Linked DNA regions of Anolis sagrei. The protein of the gene in region 2 interacts with the protein of the main gene of each other region in a biochemical or structural test. Links are inferred from orthologs where the notes say so. Each region holds a gene or a part of one and is shown on either strand. Other genes may lie near its edges.

Region 1 (7,398 bases), about 54 Mb from region 2:
CAGCTTTTGCGCTTTCTTCTTTCACCTTGATTAGAAGGCTCCTCAGCTCCTCCTCACTTTCGGCCATCAGAGTGGTGTCATCTGCATATCTGAAGTTGTTAAAGTTTCTTCCAGCAATTTTCACCCCAGCTTTGCATTCATCAAGCCGCGCACATCGCATTAATCACTTAATTTAGCATGCATAAAAGAGAAGGAATAATTTCAAGAAATACCCACCATCCAGTAAGATCTCCTTCCACACAAACCATCAAATCATCTTCCACAACAATATCATTTGTGACTTCTGAAAGAGAAAAACATTTAAAAAAAATTAAACTCCAAATTTTCTGCTAACAGATTTAATTATATTGCATACAAAATGGCAGTTTTTTGATGTCTCGCACACCCTTAATATATCGTAGCTCCTCTACATTTACCGGTGTTAGTGGCACATAGTCTCAAAGTGGGGAAAATGCAAATATAAATTGCAAATGCTACTTTTTACTTGAAAGAAGACTGCTCTAGCCATTTGTGGGACCCACAAATGCCTAGACAGAAGATACCACATGTTTTTGGCTGTGAGTAGAACAAAAGAGGTGGCATAAATACAGCAATTTGCAAATACAGCAATGAAATCTGCAAATTAACTGATCTGAAGAGCTAACTGTATCCTTCTAATCATTGCATGCTGCTTAAACACTTGACAGGAAATCTGACTGCAGAAAAATCTCAGTACATTTGCTGAACAAAAAAGAAACAGGTGAACTATTTTTATATTGTTAGATGGCCAGGAACAAAACAAAACAAAAGGAAAGGAAAGCAAAGCAAATACAAAGTAGGAATGAGGTAGCCTTCAAGGAAGTATGAATGTAATTGGGCTGGGAATATTTTTGAGGGTGAATCTACACAAATCTGGCCTGCCATGTCTTTCTGTGTAGTCCTCCAGATGCTGGATGACAACTCCTGTATTCCTCTTCATTAGACATGATTGGAGCTGATGTTCAATGTGAAAAAGTAACACCTGTAAGGTTGCAGTCTGTCATTTTTAGTCAGAATGATGGTGCCTGAATTTAGATATATGGCTTGTGGATATGATATTCGACTTTAACCTTTGTCCTTTAACCTTTCTCCAACCCCAGAGCCACATGTGCTGTTGGGTTGCAATTCCCATTTTCCCCAATCTGCATGGCAGATATTCAAAAGTTTATCATTTAATAACATCTGGGGACAGAACCACATTAGTTAAAGTGGTGTCAAGCCTTACAGTTGTCTTCAATGGGCCTTTGAATCCATGGAGGGAGAACCTGGTGTAGATTCATATAATCCAGTTCAGTCTGCATTATATGAGTCTACACTGATCATGTAATGCAGATAAGGCTTCTGTCCTGGGAGAAAAGCAGGGTATAATAATAATAATAATAATAATAATTTAAAAATAGTCCGTACCTGGATGCAACTCAGAACAGAGATAAAGTTCAGGTTCACTAACTCCTATCCAAAATCCATGGGACTAGCAATGTTTTTTAAATAAGAATGTTTAAAGATCTTGGAATACTTGCAGATACATTTCGAGATATTTTGGAGATGAGACCCAAAGCCTGAACACAACATTCATTTATGTTTCATATACATCTGAGATACATAGCCTAATGTTTATACTAGGGTGATTTTATGCTTTGTCTGAATATTTAAATGTTATGTATTTATGTTTAATGGTTTAAGTTGATTTTAAGTTCATAGTTATATGTAGTAATTACTTAGTTATTATGATTTGTCTACTGTATGTTGGCAATGAATTTTTGCCATTAGTACGTTGTAAACTGCCTTGAGTCCACCCAGGGCTGAGAAACGCGGCATATAAATACAGTATACAAACTTACACAATCTCTCTGATCATCTGGAGAGGCCCTGCTCACGATTCCACCTGCGTCACAAGCGCGTTTGGTGGGGACGAGGGACAGGGCCTTCTCTGTGGTGGCCCCCCGACTCTGGAACTCTCTCTTTAAGGACATCAGACAAGCCCCAACGTTGGCAGTGTTTAGGAAGAGCTTGAAGACGTGGCTGTTCCAGTGTGCCTTCCCAGAATAGGAAACGCCTAGCATCATGTCCCAAATGCACATTATTAGAGATTTAAGATTGTCTGCACACAGCACCTATCTCCAAAAACCTATCCATTTCACCTGTCATGTCCAGCATTTTTTAAATTTTATTCATTACATTTGGCCTGGCCTTAGTTTTAAATGTGTTGTGGTGTTATTGTCTAATGTTTATTGCTTTCTTTTATGAGTTTACTAATTGTTGTATTGTTATGCTGTTGTTTTATTGATGTGTTGGGCCTTGGCCTCTTGTAAGCCGCACCGAGTCCTTCGTGAGATGTTAGCAGGGTATAAATAAAGTTAATAATAATAAATAAATAAATAAATGTGAGGATACAGGGGGCCAAATATATTTTTCACATAGTTGCTTTTCATTTTTAGCCCATTTGTTATTGAATAACAACGCCCATCACTTCTGATTCATTCATTCTACTCAAGTGAGTTCCAAACTCGTCCTCCAGGTTCCCAGAATTCCTGACCATTGGACAGGCTGGCAATAGCTTCTGGGAGTTGGAGGCCCAAGCACTGGAGGACCACAGGTTGTCCCCACTTGGCGTAGCGAGGATGCGCCCAACCTCCGCTCTCCCGAGCTAGGCGAACTCACTGAAGCAGGCGAGGAGGCGGAGCTTCTCCTCCTGGGCGCACAGGTGAAGCGAGTCCCCCAGCACGGCGCGGCAACTCCGGCATTGGTAGAGCACGCAGTCCTCCGGTCTCAGGCCCCGAAAGCCGGGGAGCCGCTCCCAGGCACCCTCGGGCCTCTTGCTTGGCGGCGGCGGCGGCGGGCTGGGGCCTTTCGCTACTCCAGGTCCTGCCCGCTCCACCATGATGCCGCCACCCACTCGGGGCTCCTGGAAGAGCAGCTGCAGTTGCCGACGCACCGCCATCTTGTTTTCCGCCAAACGTTCAAACCTCATCCCCCGCCAAGCACGAGCCCGCCTTCTTCCACCGTCATTGGCTGGAGCTGCCCGCCCACGTTTCCGTTAGACCTAATCCCCCGCTTTCGTTAAGCACGCGCCCGCCTTCTCCTCGCCCATTGGCCTACTTTGCGGCTTGACCCAATCGGGTTTCAAGAATATAACACAAAGCGGGGGCGCGGGCGGTTTAAAAACAATTTTATTTGGACGTTTCCGTGGCCCAGGCAGGCCTCGAAGCCAACGTCTCTTCGGCACTTGACCTCCCACGCAGAGGCCTGTCTTTCTCTCGTAAGACCTGCAGACTCGGTTGGAGAGGAGAGAGCGGCTCACAACATTCACCGTGTTCCTTTGGCATTTTGGTACTCTCTTGTGCTGTGTGCGCGCGTGTTTTTATATGTATAGGTAAAGGTAAAGGTAGTCCCCGTTTTATATGTATACATTTCTTTAAAAAGACTCCGGGTTGTTGAATCCCTTCTCAGTTCCCCTTTTCTTTCCAAAGGGAAAATATGACATGCATTTATCCCCCTTCCCGCAATTCTCCCGGAATTCGGCTTTCTTTCTCGATGCGCTGTGAAAAGCAGCAATTCGGTTTCAAAGTCACGTGGGTGGGCGCTAGATCCCAGCTCCTTTCTGATGTTTTTGGGAAGGCTTCATTGTGTTGATTTTAAACTGCGCAGCTTTGTGTTTGAAATGCCTCTCGGTGATTGATTTGGTCTCAAAAACGGTGGCGGTTTGGTTCCTTTCCTTTTGAAAGCCTGGCCCTCTTAACTCAGCTCTTTTTTTTTTTTTTACATTTATGCTTTGGCGTTGTCGAAGGCTTTCATGGCCGGAATCACTGGGTTGCTGTGAGTTTTCCGGACTGTATGGCCACATTCCAGAAGTATTCTCTCCTGATGTTTCACCCACATCTATGGCAGGCATCCTCAGAGGTTGTGAGATCTGTTGGAAGCTAGGCAAGTGGCGTTTATATATCTATGGAATGTCCAGGCTGGGAAAAATAACTTTTTTCTGTTTGAGGCAGGTGTGAATGTTGTAATTGGCCACTTTGATTAGTATACAATGCCTTTGCAGCTTCAAAGCCTGGCCGCTTCCTGCCTGGGGGAATCCTTTGTTAGGATACGCTAGCTGGCCCTGATTATTTCATGCCTGGAATTCCACAGTTTTCTGAGTATTGCTCCTTATTTACTGTCCTGATTTTAGAGTTTTTAAATACTGGTAGCCAGATTTTGTTCATATCATTGTTTGAAATAACAGACTGCCTTAAAAAGTAAAACAACAAACACTGGACCTGCCAAAGGTATGCAATCTAAAATGCGGTGTGGAGTAGATCCTTGGTATCTGCTGAGGTTTGGATCCAGGGCTTTCACTGACACTGTTGGAGGCAGGTGTGAATGCTGCAGTTGTCCACCTTAATTAGCATTTAATGGTCTTGTAGCTTCCAAGCCTGACCACTTCCTGCCTAGGGGAATCCTTTGTTGGAAGGTGATAGCTGGCACAAGCACAGTTTGGGAGAGAAAGTTAAAGACTAAAGCAGGGGACCTCAAACTAAGGCCCGGGAGCCGGTTGTGGCCCTCCAAGGTCATTTACCTGGCCCTTGCTCAGGGTCAACCTAAGTCTGAAACGACCTGAAAGCACACAACAACAACAATCATATCTCATCAGGCGAAAGCAGGCCCACAGTTCCCATTGAAATACTTATAAATTAATATTTATTAAAATTGTTCATTATTGTAATTATTGTATTGTTTTTAAGTGGTTTTTGAACTAAAATAAGATATGTGCATTGTGCATAGGAATTCATGTTTGTTTGTTTTTTTACATTATAATCCTGCCCTCCAAAAGTTTGAGGGACTGTGACCTGGCCCTCTGTTTAAAAAGTTTGAGGACCCCCGGACTAAAAGGTTGGAAGAAAGAACTCTTGTTCTTTCCACAGATATATAAACCCCATTTTCCTAGTTTCCAAGAGATCTTACAACCTTTGGCCACATCATGAGGAGACAGCAAAGCCTAGAGAAGACAATGATGCTGGGGAAAGCGGAAGGTAAAAGGAAGAGGGGCCGACCAAGGGCAAGATGGATGGATGGCATCCTTGAAGTGACTGGACTGACCTTGAGGGAGCTGGGGGTGGTGACTGCAGACAGGGAGCTCCAGACAGGGAGCTCTGGCGTGGGCTGGTCCATGAGGTCATGAAGGGTCGGAGACGACTGAACGAATGAACAACAAACCATAGATACAGGCGAAAAGTCAGGAGAGAAGGCTTCTGGAACATGGCCATACAGCCAGGAAAACTTACAGCAACCCATTCATGCTTTTGTCGCCGGTTGATTTTATTCCCAACCCCCGGAGGATTGGTCTCTCCGCCAACTGGAAGGGTTGGGAGCTCGGCTGTTTCCGTTCTCTTTCCGAAAATGTACGAGAAGCTTGGGGAAAAAAACCCTAGAAAAAAATAACCTTTTTGTTTTGTTTCGCTGGCTCACGCGAAGGCATCCTATTGGCCACGGGCCTCCTTCAGGCACCGCCCTCTTCCGCGAGCGTCCAACCAATGCCGCGCGACGAGTGAAGGTTTGAAGGGAGAGCGCGCGAGCGGCTTCGAGGCGCGGCAGTTGGGCGCGGAGCTTTCCTTCCTTCCCTTTGGTGGCTGGAGGCGCCCAGTCATGGAGGTTTCTCCCCCGGAGGAGCGGCTGGAGACGCTCAAGTACAGCGAGCTGCAGTCCCTGGCCAAGGCTCTGGGGCTGAAGGCCAATCTCAAGGTGAGAACTTAGGTCTACCCTTAGTTGTTTATGTTTCCCAATGAAAACGAATTTATAAATTGCTATCTGCGACTAAAATGATCAAGGGTCTGGAGAACAAGCCCTATGATTAGCGGCTTAAGGAGCTGGGCATGTTTAGCCTGAAGAAAAGAAGGCTGAGAGGGGATATGATAGCCATGTATAAATATGTGAGAGGAAGTCACAGGGAGGAGGGAGCAAGCTTGCTTTCTGCTTCCCTGGAGACTAGGACGTGGAACAGTGGCTTCAAACTATAAGAAAGGAGATTCCATCTGAACATGAGGAAGAACTTCCTGACTGTGAGCCGTTCAGCAGTGGAACTCTCTGCCCCGGAGTGTGGTGGAGGCTCCTTCCTTGGAGGTTTTTAAACAGGCTAGATGGCCATCTGTCAGGGGTTCTTTGAATGCAATATTCCTGCTTCTTGGCAGGGGGTTGGACTGGATGGCCCATGAGGTCTCTTCCAACTCTATGATTCTATGGGGAATGGCACAAAGATAACACTGAATTGCCTCAGGGAACTGAGTTTTGAACGGTACTTAGAATGACAGAGACTTCTAGTGCACACCCTTGAATTACTATAGCCATGGTACCTTGAGAGGTAAGGCGCGGATGTTGTGGAAATTATTAGCTGGTGGAACATTCTAGCAGAACTCTTTAGAGTGCATCTGCATTGTAAAATTAATCCAGTTTGATACCACTTTTAACTGCCATGCCTTAGTGCTATGTAATCCCGGGATTTGTAGTTTGTTGAGGTACCTTTTAAAACTACAGCTCCCATGATTCTATATAGTTGAGCCATGGCAGTTAACGCAGTCTCAAACTGCGCTAATTCTATAGTGTAGGTGCGACCGAAGAAACTGAAGGTTTTGTTCCTTTAAGCTAGGCATGGGCAAACTTAGGCCCTCCAGGTGTTTTGGACCAACTCCCACAATTCCTAACACCCGGTAGGAATTGTATGTTTTTACCCTGTTTCCCCTTCTGCTCCCTCACCCATATTGTGTTTTTAGTAGTTATATTTATATTTTTAATGTACCAAACATGCCAGGTTTGTATGGAAATGTGACACTATTTCCTGTGCTGGTCAATGACCGAAATAAATATTTTGAAAAAGTCCAAAACACCTGGAGCGCCTAAGTTTGCCCATGCTTGCTCTAAGAAAAGTCTTGAACTCGGTTTTTTAGAGATTTGATGGAGCTTGAGGTGATGCGGTTTGATATGGAATTGAACTGGAATTTGTAGTTCGGTAAGACACCAGCACTCTGGACCTTGCAAGGCTACAACTCCCGTGATTCCATAGCACTGAACCATGACGGGAAAAGTGGTGTCAAACTGCATTCATTCTACTTTGTAGGATTCAAATCAAAGAAGGCCAATGGCTTGGTTGTTGTCCTCTTGTTACTGTTAACCGCCCAACTATTGGGCTGATCCACTTGGAATGAGCCCACTTGTGTGTCTCCAGAGAAACCTCTCTTCTCCGCTGAAGTATAGGATGCCCATTTTCCATTTTGAACCTTAGAAACTCCTGTTGGGGTCCAAAGGGGCAGCAAATTGTTTTCTTCTGAATCAGTGCACCTCAGGCTTTTTGGTTAGCTGGTCTGCAGTTTTTGTTTGGGCTAGTTTTTGTCCCCATATTTCTTCCTC
Region 2 (7,387 bases):
CAGCAGCTAGACTATTAATTGCAAAATATTGGAAAGGGGCAATGAAAATACAGATTAATGAATGGTATAAAGAAATCTGGAAAATGGCATTGAATGATAAGCTAACATCAAACTTAAAAGTAAAAAAGGGATTATGTAAAAAATGACTTTGAAAGTATCTGGAGAAAATTTCTAGAAAAATTATTGGAAAGAGAAGATGGGAATTTATCTCCAAATGAAGAACTGATTTTTTTGGTGGGACTTTAAGAAAAGAGATGGCTCTGGAGAAGGGGAGCACAGGGGTGAATGTAAATAAAAGAGGGAAATGTATAGTATATGACTACATAACTATTTTCTCTTCTCAAATAATTTTTTTTAAAAAGGAAATGATGGATGAGGGATGTTTATAGACAGGAATGGAAGAACATACCTTTTCCCGCCTTGGCCTCCTCATGTGGCTCGTCATCCAGCGGTTCCTTTAGCTTCTCCTCTTTGGCGCTTGGTTTCTCGCCTTGCCTTCCCAAAAGGCCTGGATGTCTTGCAGGAGTGAGGATGTAGTCCGTGGTGCTGTTTGTGTGGGTGAGATTCCTTTCCAGAGGCGTGCCCTGCTGCACAGCCCGAAGAGCTGCCCTGATCTTCATGGCTGAGAAGATTTTTGACGGAGACTGAAAAGGCGGCCGCTCGCAAACCTTACTTTTGAGGAAGGTGCTCCCTGTCGGCGATATGGCTTCCTGCTTCACATCGCACAAAGTTGGCCCCTGTTCTTCAGTAACTGGCTTTATCTCGCTGAGGTCAAGAAATAATTTATCAAAAGGAGCACCAGCTATGAGAGTTGACTGGAGGGTTTTCCCCCCTTTAACCTCTTTTCTCAAGCCATTTTTTCTGCAGGGAAGAACCACTGAAGGAAAAACAGCTTCTTTGGCAACTGAAGTTCTATCCTCCCGAAATTTCCCCAAGTCTTTTAGAGGCGTGCCTCCAGGGATGATGCTGAGGGAAACGGCTTTCATCCCTCCTCTTCTACCAGAAGGAAATGGAGACAACAAAATCCCTCAAACTTTTTGCGAGGTAGCAAGTACCTTAACAAAACATGACTCTTCCATGTTGTTCCAATGGCAAAGTCTTTCAACTTGATGTCTTTTTTATTACTATGAAGAGAGGGTCATAAATTCCAGGTTTGTGCTTTCACATTTTAGCTAAAAAGAAAAATGCCGTGGTTAGTTTTGTGCTTAAGAACAAGTAACATTATTTGCATCAGACTCAAGTGACAAATACTGATTTTTATCCTAATTTTCAGGATACAAAACTCCCCACGTTGGCTGACAAGTGATCATAACAAGCTACCCATAATCTGAGGAAAGGACTGGATGGCAGACCAGGAATGCAGCAAACTTAATGTGTTAAGTTGTTAACTGTTTTTACACTGTTGCATTGAACTTTTGCTGTTCTTATTGGTTGTGAACTGCTGTGAGTCGCCTTTGGGCTGATGTTTCGCCTGCATCTATGGAAAGCATCCTCAGAGGTAGTGAGGTCTGTTGGAAATAGGGAAATGGGTTTATATATCTGTGGAATGACTGGGGTGGGGCAAAGAGCTCTTCTCTGCTGAAGCTAGGTGTGAATGTTTCAGCTGACCACCTTCATTAGCATTTGAAGGCCTGGCTGAGCCTGGGAAAATGTTCTGTTGAGAGGTGTTAAGAGGTGTTACCTCTGCAGGAGTCTACCGTGTACCATGCAGCTGTGGACAAGTCTACATAGGATCCACCAAACGTAGCAGCATTGCCCAAACACGCATCAAGGAACATGAAAGGCACTGCAGACTACTCCAACCAGAGAAGTCAGCCATAGCAGAGCACCTGATGAACCAGCCTGGACAGAGCACCTGATGAACCAGGAGTATGTCACAGCAAACGAGATCTATATGCTGAATTTCTTATCACAGAATCACAAGTCGAACACTTCCCAAGCGGGTTGTTGTAGGTTTTTTCGGGCTATATGACCATGGTCTAGAGGCATTTTCTCCTGATGTTTTGCCTGCATCGATGGCAAGCATCCTCAGAGGTAGTGAGGTCTGTTGGAAATAGGAAAAAAGGGTTTATATATCTGTGGAAAGACCAGGGTGGGACAAAGGACTCTTGTCTGCTGGAGCTAGGTGTGATTGTTTCAATTGACCACCTTGATTAGCATTTGATGGCCTGGCAGTGCCTGGAGCAGTATTTTGTTGAGAGGTGATTAGATGTCCTTGTTTGTTTCCTCTCTGTTGTTGTGCTGTGTTAGCACATTATTTGAGAACACAGCATATTATTTGAGAACACAGAAATGCTGGACCACTCTCACAACCACCATGTCAGACTACACAGAGAAGCCATTGAAATACACAAGCATGTGGACAATTTCAACAGAAAGGAAGAAACCATGGAAATGAACAAAATCTGGCTACCAGTATTAAAAAAAACTCTAAAATTGCAACAGCAAAACAGCAGAGAGGAAACAACCAGGCACATCTTAACACCTCTCAACAAAAGATTTTCCCAGGCTCAGGCAGGCCTTCAAATGCTAATGAAGGTGGTCAGCTGAAACATTCACACCTAGCTCCAGCAGAGAAGAGTTCTTTGTCCCACCCTGGTCATTCCACAGATATATAAACCCATTTTTCCTCGTTCCAACAGACCTCATTACCTCTGAGGATGCTTGCCATAGATGCAGGCGAAACGTCAGGAGAGAATGCCACTAGACCATGGCCATATAGCCCGAAAAAACCCACAAGAACCTAGTGATTCCAGCCATGAAAGCCTTCGACAATACATTGACTCAATAATAATAATAATAATAATAATTACTACTACTATTGTGTCTCTTCGTATCCATTCTCACCTTCAGCGGCTTCTTCTCCTCACAGACTAACCGCCGTTACGTTTGAATCTCCCCCGCGTAGCCTCCGCCGACGCTGATTGGTCGGAAAGCCGGAAGTGACGCCATCACGTCGTCGGCGACGGAAATGCCTCTGTCGGCCATTTTGGAGACGGGCAAAAAGAAGACATAGGCCAAGAGAAACTTGTCAGGCCTTTCGCTTCCAGTCATGAAGACACCAGTTAATGCTACTGCGGGCGGGGGGGGGGGACGGGACTACGTAATCTGTATTAAACGAAATGCCTCTAAAAGAGGAAGAAAGGCCTCTGAGGAGATATTCCCAGTGCGCATGCGCAGTACACTTCTTTCGCTGCTGAGCGTCTTGCAGCAGTTCTAGCGCATGCGCACATCCAAGTCTCATTCTCGCCTGGAAAGATCCCAGTGCGCATGCGTAGTTGCCTCTCTTCGCTGCTGAGCCTCTGACTGTATTGAGCAGTGCCTGAGTTTAGCGCATGCGCACATCCAAGCCTCTCATTCTCTCCTGGAAGGATCCCAGTGCGCATGCGTAGTTGTCTCTCTTCGGTGTCGAGCCTCTGACCGTATTGAGCGGGGCCTGGGTTTAGCGCATGCGCACATCCAAGCTTCTCATTCTCGCCTGGAAGGATCCCAGTGCGCTTGCGTAATTGCCTCCCTTCGTTGTGTAGCCTCTGACTGTATTGAGCGGGGCCTGGGTTTAGCGCATGCGCACATCCAAGCTTCTCATTCTCGCCTGGAAGGATCCCAGTGCGCTTGCGTAATTGCCTCCCTTCGTTGTCTAGCCTCTGACTGTATTGAGCGGTGCCTGGATTTAGCGCATGCGCACATCTAAGCCTCTCCATCTCTTCCCACGTTCTGGGAAGTGTCCCGGTTTCTTTCTTTCTTTCTCCCTTTGCGCTCAGCTTTCATTCATTGCTGTGCAAAAGAAGTGGAGAGGAAGAAGGAGAACACACATTGCAGATACTGTGTATCAAAGAACCTTAAAGCTATGTATATGTTATCTGTTATGTAAAACTTTAATGAATATTTGGTCTAGCATTTGATGGCCTGGCAGTGCATGGGGCAATCTTTCGTTGAGAGGTGATTAGATGTCCTTGTTTGTTTCCTTGTGCTGCTCTAATTTTAGAGTTTTTTTAATACTGGTAGCCAGATTGTGTTCATTTTCATGGCTTCCTCCTTTCCGTTGAAATTGACTACATGCTTGTGGATTTCAGCGGCTTCTCTGTGTAGTCTGACAACAACAAAAGATTGCTTCAGGCTCTGCCAGGCCATCAAATGCATTTGGGTTGAGGCTTTGGAGCTTTGCTGTTGTGTATTGGGGCTCATTTTGCATAGAGGCACATTGCATGTGGCTATTATAATTCATGTAGGTTTTTTCGGGCTATAGGCCATGTTCTAGAGTCATTCTCTTCTGACGTTTCGCCAGCATCTATGGCAAGCATCCTCAGAGGTAGTGAGGTCTGTTGGAAATAGGGAAATGGGTTTATATATCTGTGGAATGACTGGGGTAGGGCAAAGAGCTCTCTGCTGAAGCTAGGTGTGAATGTTTCAGCTGACCACCTTCATTAGCATTTGAAGGCCTGGCTGAGCCTGGGAAAATGTTCTGTTGAGAGGTGTTAAGATGTGCCTGGTTGTTTCCTCTCTGCTGTTTTGCCAAGCCTTCAAATGCTAATGAAGGTGGTCAGCTGAAACATTCACACCTAGCTCCAGCAGAGAAGAGCTCCTTGCCCCACCCCAGCCATTCCACAGATATATAAACCCTTTTTCCTAGTTCCAACAGACCTCACAACTTCTGAGGATGCTTTCCATAGATGCAGGCGAAACGTCAGGCGAAATGCCTCTAGAACATGGCCCTATAGCCCGAAAAAAACCTACAAGAACCTAGTGATTCCAGCCATGAAAGCCTTCGACAATACATTATTATAATTCAGCTTGAATTTCTGCATTTGGTTTGAGGCTGTGGAGTCATGCTGTTGTGCATAGAGACACATTGCACATGGCAATTATTTACACTATAGAATGAATGCAGTCTGAATTTCTGCATTTGGTTTGAGGCTGTGGAGTCATGCTGTTGTGCATAGAGACACATTGCACATGGCAATTATTTACACTATAGAATGAATGCAGTCTGAATTTCTGCATTTGGTTTGAGGCTGTGGAGTCATGCTGTTGTGCATAGAGACACATTGCACATGGCAATTATTTACACTATAGAATGAATGCAGTCTGAATTTCTGCATTTGGTTTGAGGCTGTGGAGTCATGCTGTTGTGCATAGAGGCACATTGCACATGGCGATTATTTACACTATAGAATGAATGCAGTCCGAATTTCTGCATTTGGTTTGAGGCTGTGGAGTTGTGCTGTTGTGCATAGAGGCACATTGCACATGGCGATTATTTACACTATAGAAAGAATGCAGTCTGAATTTCTGCATTTGGTTTGAGGTTGTGGAGTCATGCTGTTGTGCATTGGTGCACATTGTGAACATGAAGCAGGCACATTGTGCACCAATGCACAATGTGCACCAATGCACAAGAGTTGTGCTCTTGTGCATTGGTGCACATTGTGAACATGAAGCAGGCACACTGGATGATGCGCCTTCGGTTGCACCGCATTGATGTCCAGCCGAAAGACACTGTTGTTATTCCTCCTCCGTGTAAGGAAAGGTGTGCACATTTACGCCATGCAAATGTGACCCCTGAACTTGGGCGATGTTTACTCTCTGGGGCTCCCCCCCCCCCTTTTCCATGTTAGGAGTTCCCTCTGCGCCAAAGCGAAGCCCCTTCTAAGTCCCACTAAAACCATCCCCCTCCCTCTTAGGTTTTAAATCAATCAGAGCACCTTTGAAATGAGCAGAGGGTTCCACAAAGTGCTTTGCTTTGACTGGATTACGAAGGAACACAAGGCGCTGCCTTATCTGCAAGGCTTCAGGCTCCGGGAGAGGGGCAAAGGGACTCCTTATCAGCCAGAGGAAGCCATGCGCTCCACTTTAGAGATCCCTTTGCAGGGGAACCAGCACCGCATGGGTTGCACTTAGGAATGCATTGCAGGCTTAGCTCTCCATGGGACTCACTATGGGTCCCTGCCTCGATCTGGTAAGATCTGCACACAATAGGAAGCTGTCTGTTCCTATAGCCGATGCATCAGTAATGTATGAAATCTGCTCAGTGAAATTCCTGGAGACTTACTTACTTACTTACTTACTTAGGTGATCCCTCATTGTCCGAGGATGATGGTCCACCAAGTGGGTCCGTAGGTGACTGTGGAGTCCTATTTTAGACCTGCATCTTCTCCCGCACTGAGGGCATTGGTTTCCAGGTAGAAGGCAGTCCCGTTCATGGGTTGGCTTGACATGCCTTCCTCTTGGCATGTTTCTCTCTTTTGCCCTCCATTTGTGCCTCTTCAAATTCTGCAGCATTGCTGGTCACAGCTGACCTCCAACTGGAGCACTCAAGGGCCAGGGCTTCGCAGTTCTCAGTGTCTATGCCAAAGTTTTTAACGTTGTCATTGAGCCCATCTTTCAATCTCTTTTCTTGCCCACCAACATTCCGTTTTCCATTCTTGAGTTTGGAATAAAGCACCTGCTTTGAGAGATGGTGGTCGGGCATCCGGACAACGTGGCCGGTCAGCGGAGTTGATGGCGGAGGACCATCGCTTCAATGCTGGTGGTCTTTGCTTCTTCCAGCATGCTGAATCATTCCATCATGGAATGTGTCCAGAGGAGGGCGACTAAAATGATCAAGGGTCTGGAGAACAAGCCCTGTGAGGAGCGGCTTAAGGAGCTGGGCATGTTTAGCCTGAAGAAGAGAAGGCTGAGAGGAGATATGATAGCCATGTATAAATATGTGAGAGGAAGCCACAGGGAGGAGGGAGCAAGCTTGTTTTCTGCTTCCCTGGAAACTAGGACAAGGAACAATGGCTTCAAACTACAAGAGAGGAGATTCCATCTGAACATGAGGAAGAACTTCCTGACTGTGAGAGCCGTTCAGCTGTGGAACTCTCTGCCCCGGAGTGTGATGGAGGCTCCCTCTTTGGAAGCTTTTAAACAGAGGCTGGATGGCCATCTGTCAGGGGTGATTTGAATGCAATATTCCTGCTTCTTGGCAGAATGGGGTTGGACTGGATGGCCCAGGAGGTCTCTTCCAACTCTAGGATTCTATGATTCTAGGATTCCAGGAGTTGCATGTGGTGTCTGTAGACAGTCCACGTTTCTTCATTGCTTTGAACGAAATACAAATAAAGCATTGGAGCCATCAACTGCCATCAATTCCACTGGACCGGCCACATTGTCCAAATGTGGCCGAGCACCGTCTCTCAAAGCAGTTGCTCTACTCTGAACTCAAGAACAGGCATTGTAATGTTGGTGGGCAGGAAAAGAGATTTAGAGAGGGGCTCAAAGCTGACCTTAAAAACTGTGGTATTGACACTGAGAACTGGGAAGCCCTGGCCCTTGAACACTCTAGTTCGAGGTCAGCTGTGACCAGCAGTGCTGTAGAATTCGAAGAGACACTAATGGAGAGCAAAAG

What was found. The genes of interacting proteins can lie anywhere in the genome.
Region 1: the proteins of MIS18BP1 (region 2) and OIP5 form a complex in vitro, tested with the Homo sapiens proteins (2 studies listed by BioGRID). The link is inferred for Anolis sagrei from reciprocal best matches to the Homo sapiens genes MIS18BP1 and OIP5.

The regions. Positions count from the first base shown.
Region 1 is NC_090021.1:288,820,696-288,828,093, reverse strand, and holds the start of OIP5 (protein Mis18-beta), read right to left. Parts: upstream 3,018-7,398; 5' UTR 2,990-3,017; coding exon 2,680-2,989; intron 284-2,679; coding exon 217-283; intron 1-216. Other genes in the region: NUSAP1 (nucleolar and spindle-associated protein 1), read left to right, coding at 5,644-5,739. UniProt on the Homo sapiens protein: Required for recruitment of CENPA to centromeres and normal chromosome segregation during mitosis.
Region 2 is NC_090021.1:342,640,014-342,647,400, reverse strand, and holds the start of MIS18BP1 (mis18-binding protein 1), read right to left. Parts: upstream 3,011-7,387; 5' UTR 2,814-3,010; intron 1,173-2,813; 5' UTR 987-1,172; coding exon 410-986; intron 1-409. UniProt on the Homo sapiens protein: Required for recruitment of CENPA to centromeres and normal chromosome segregation during mitosis.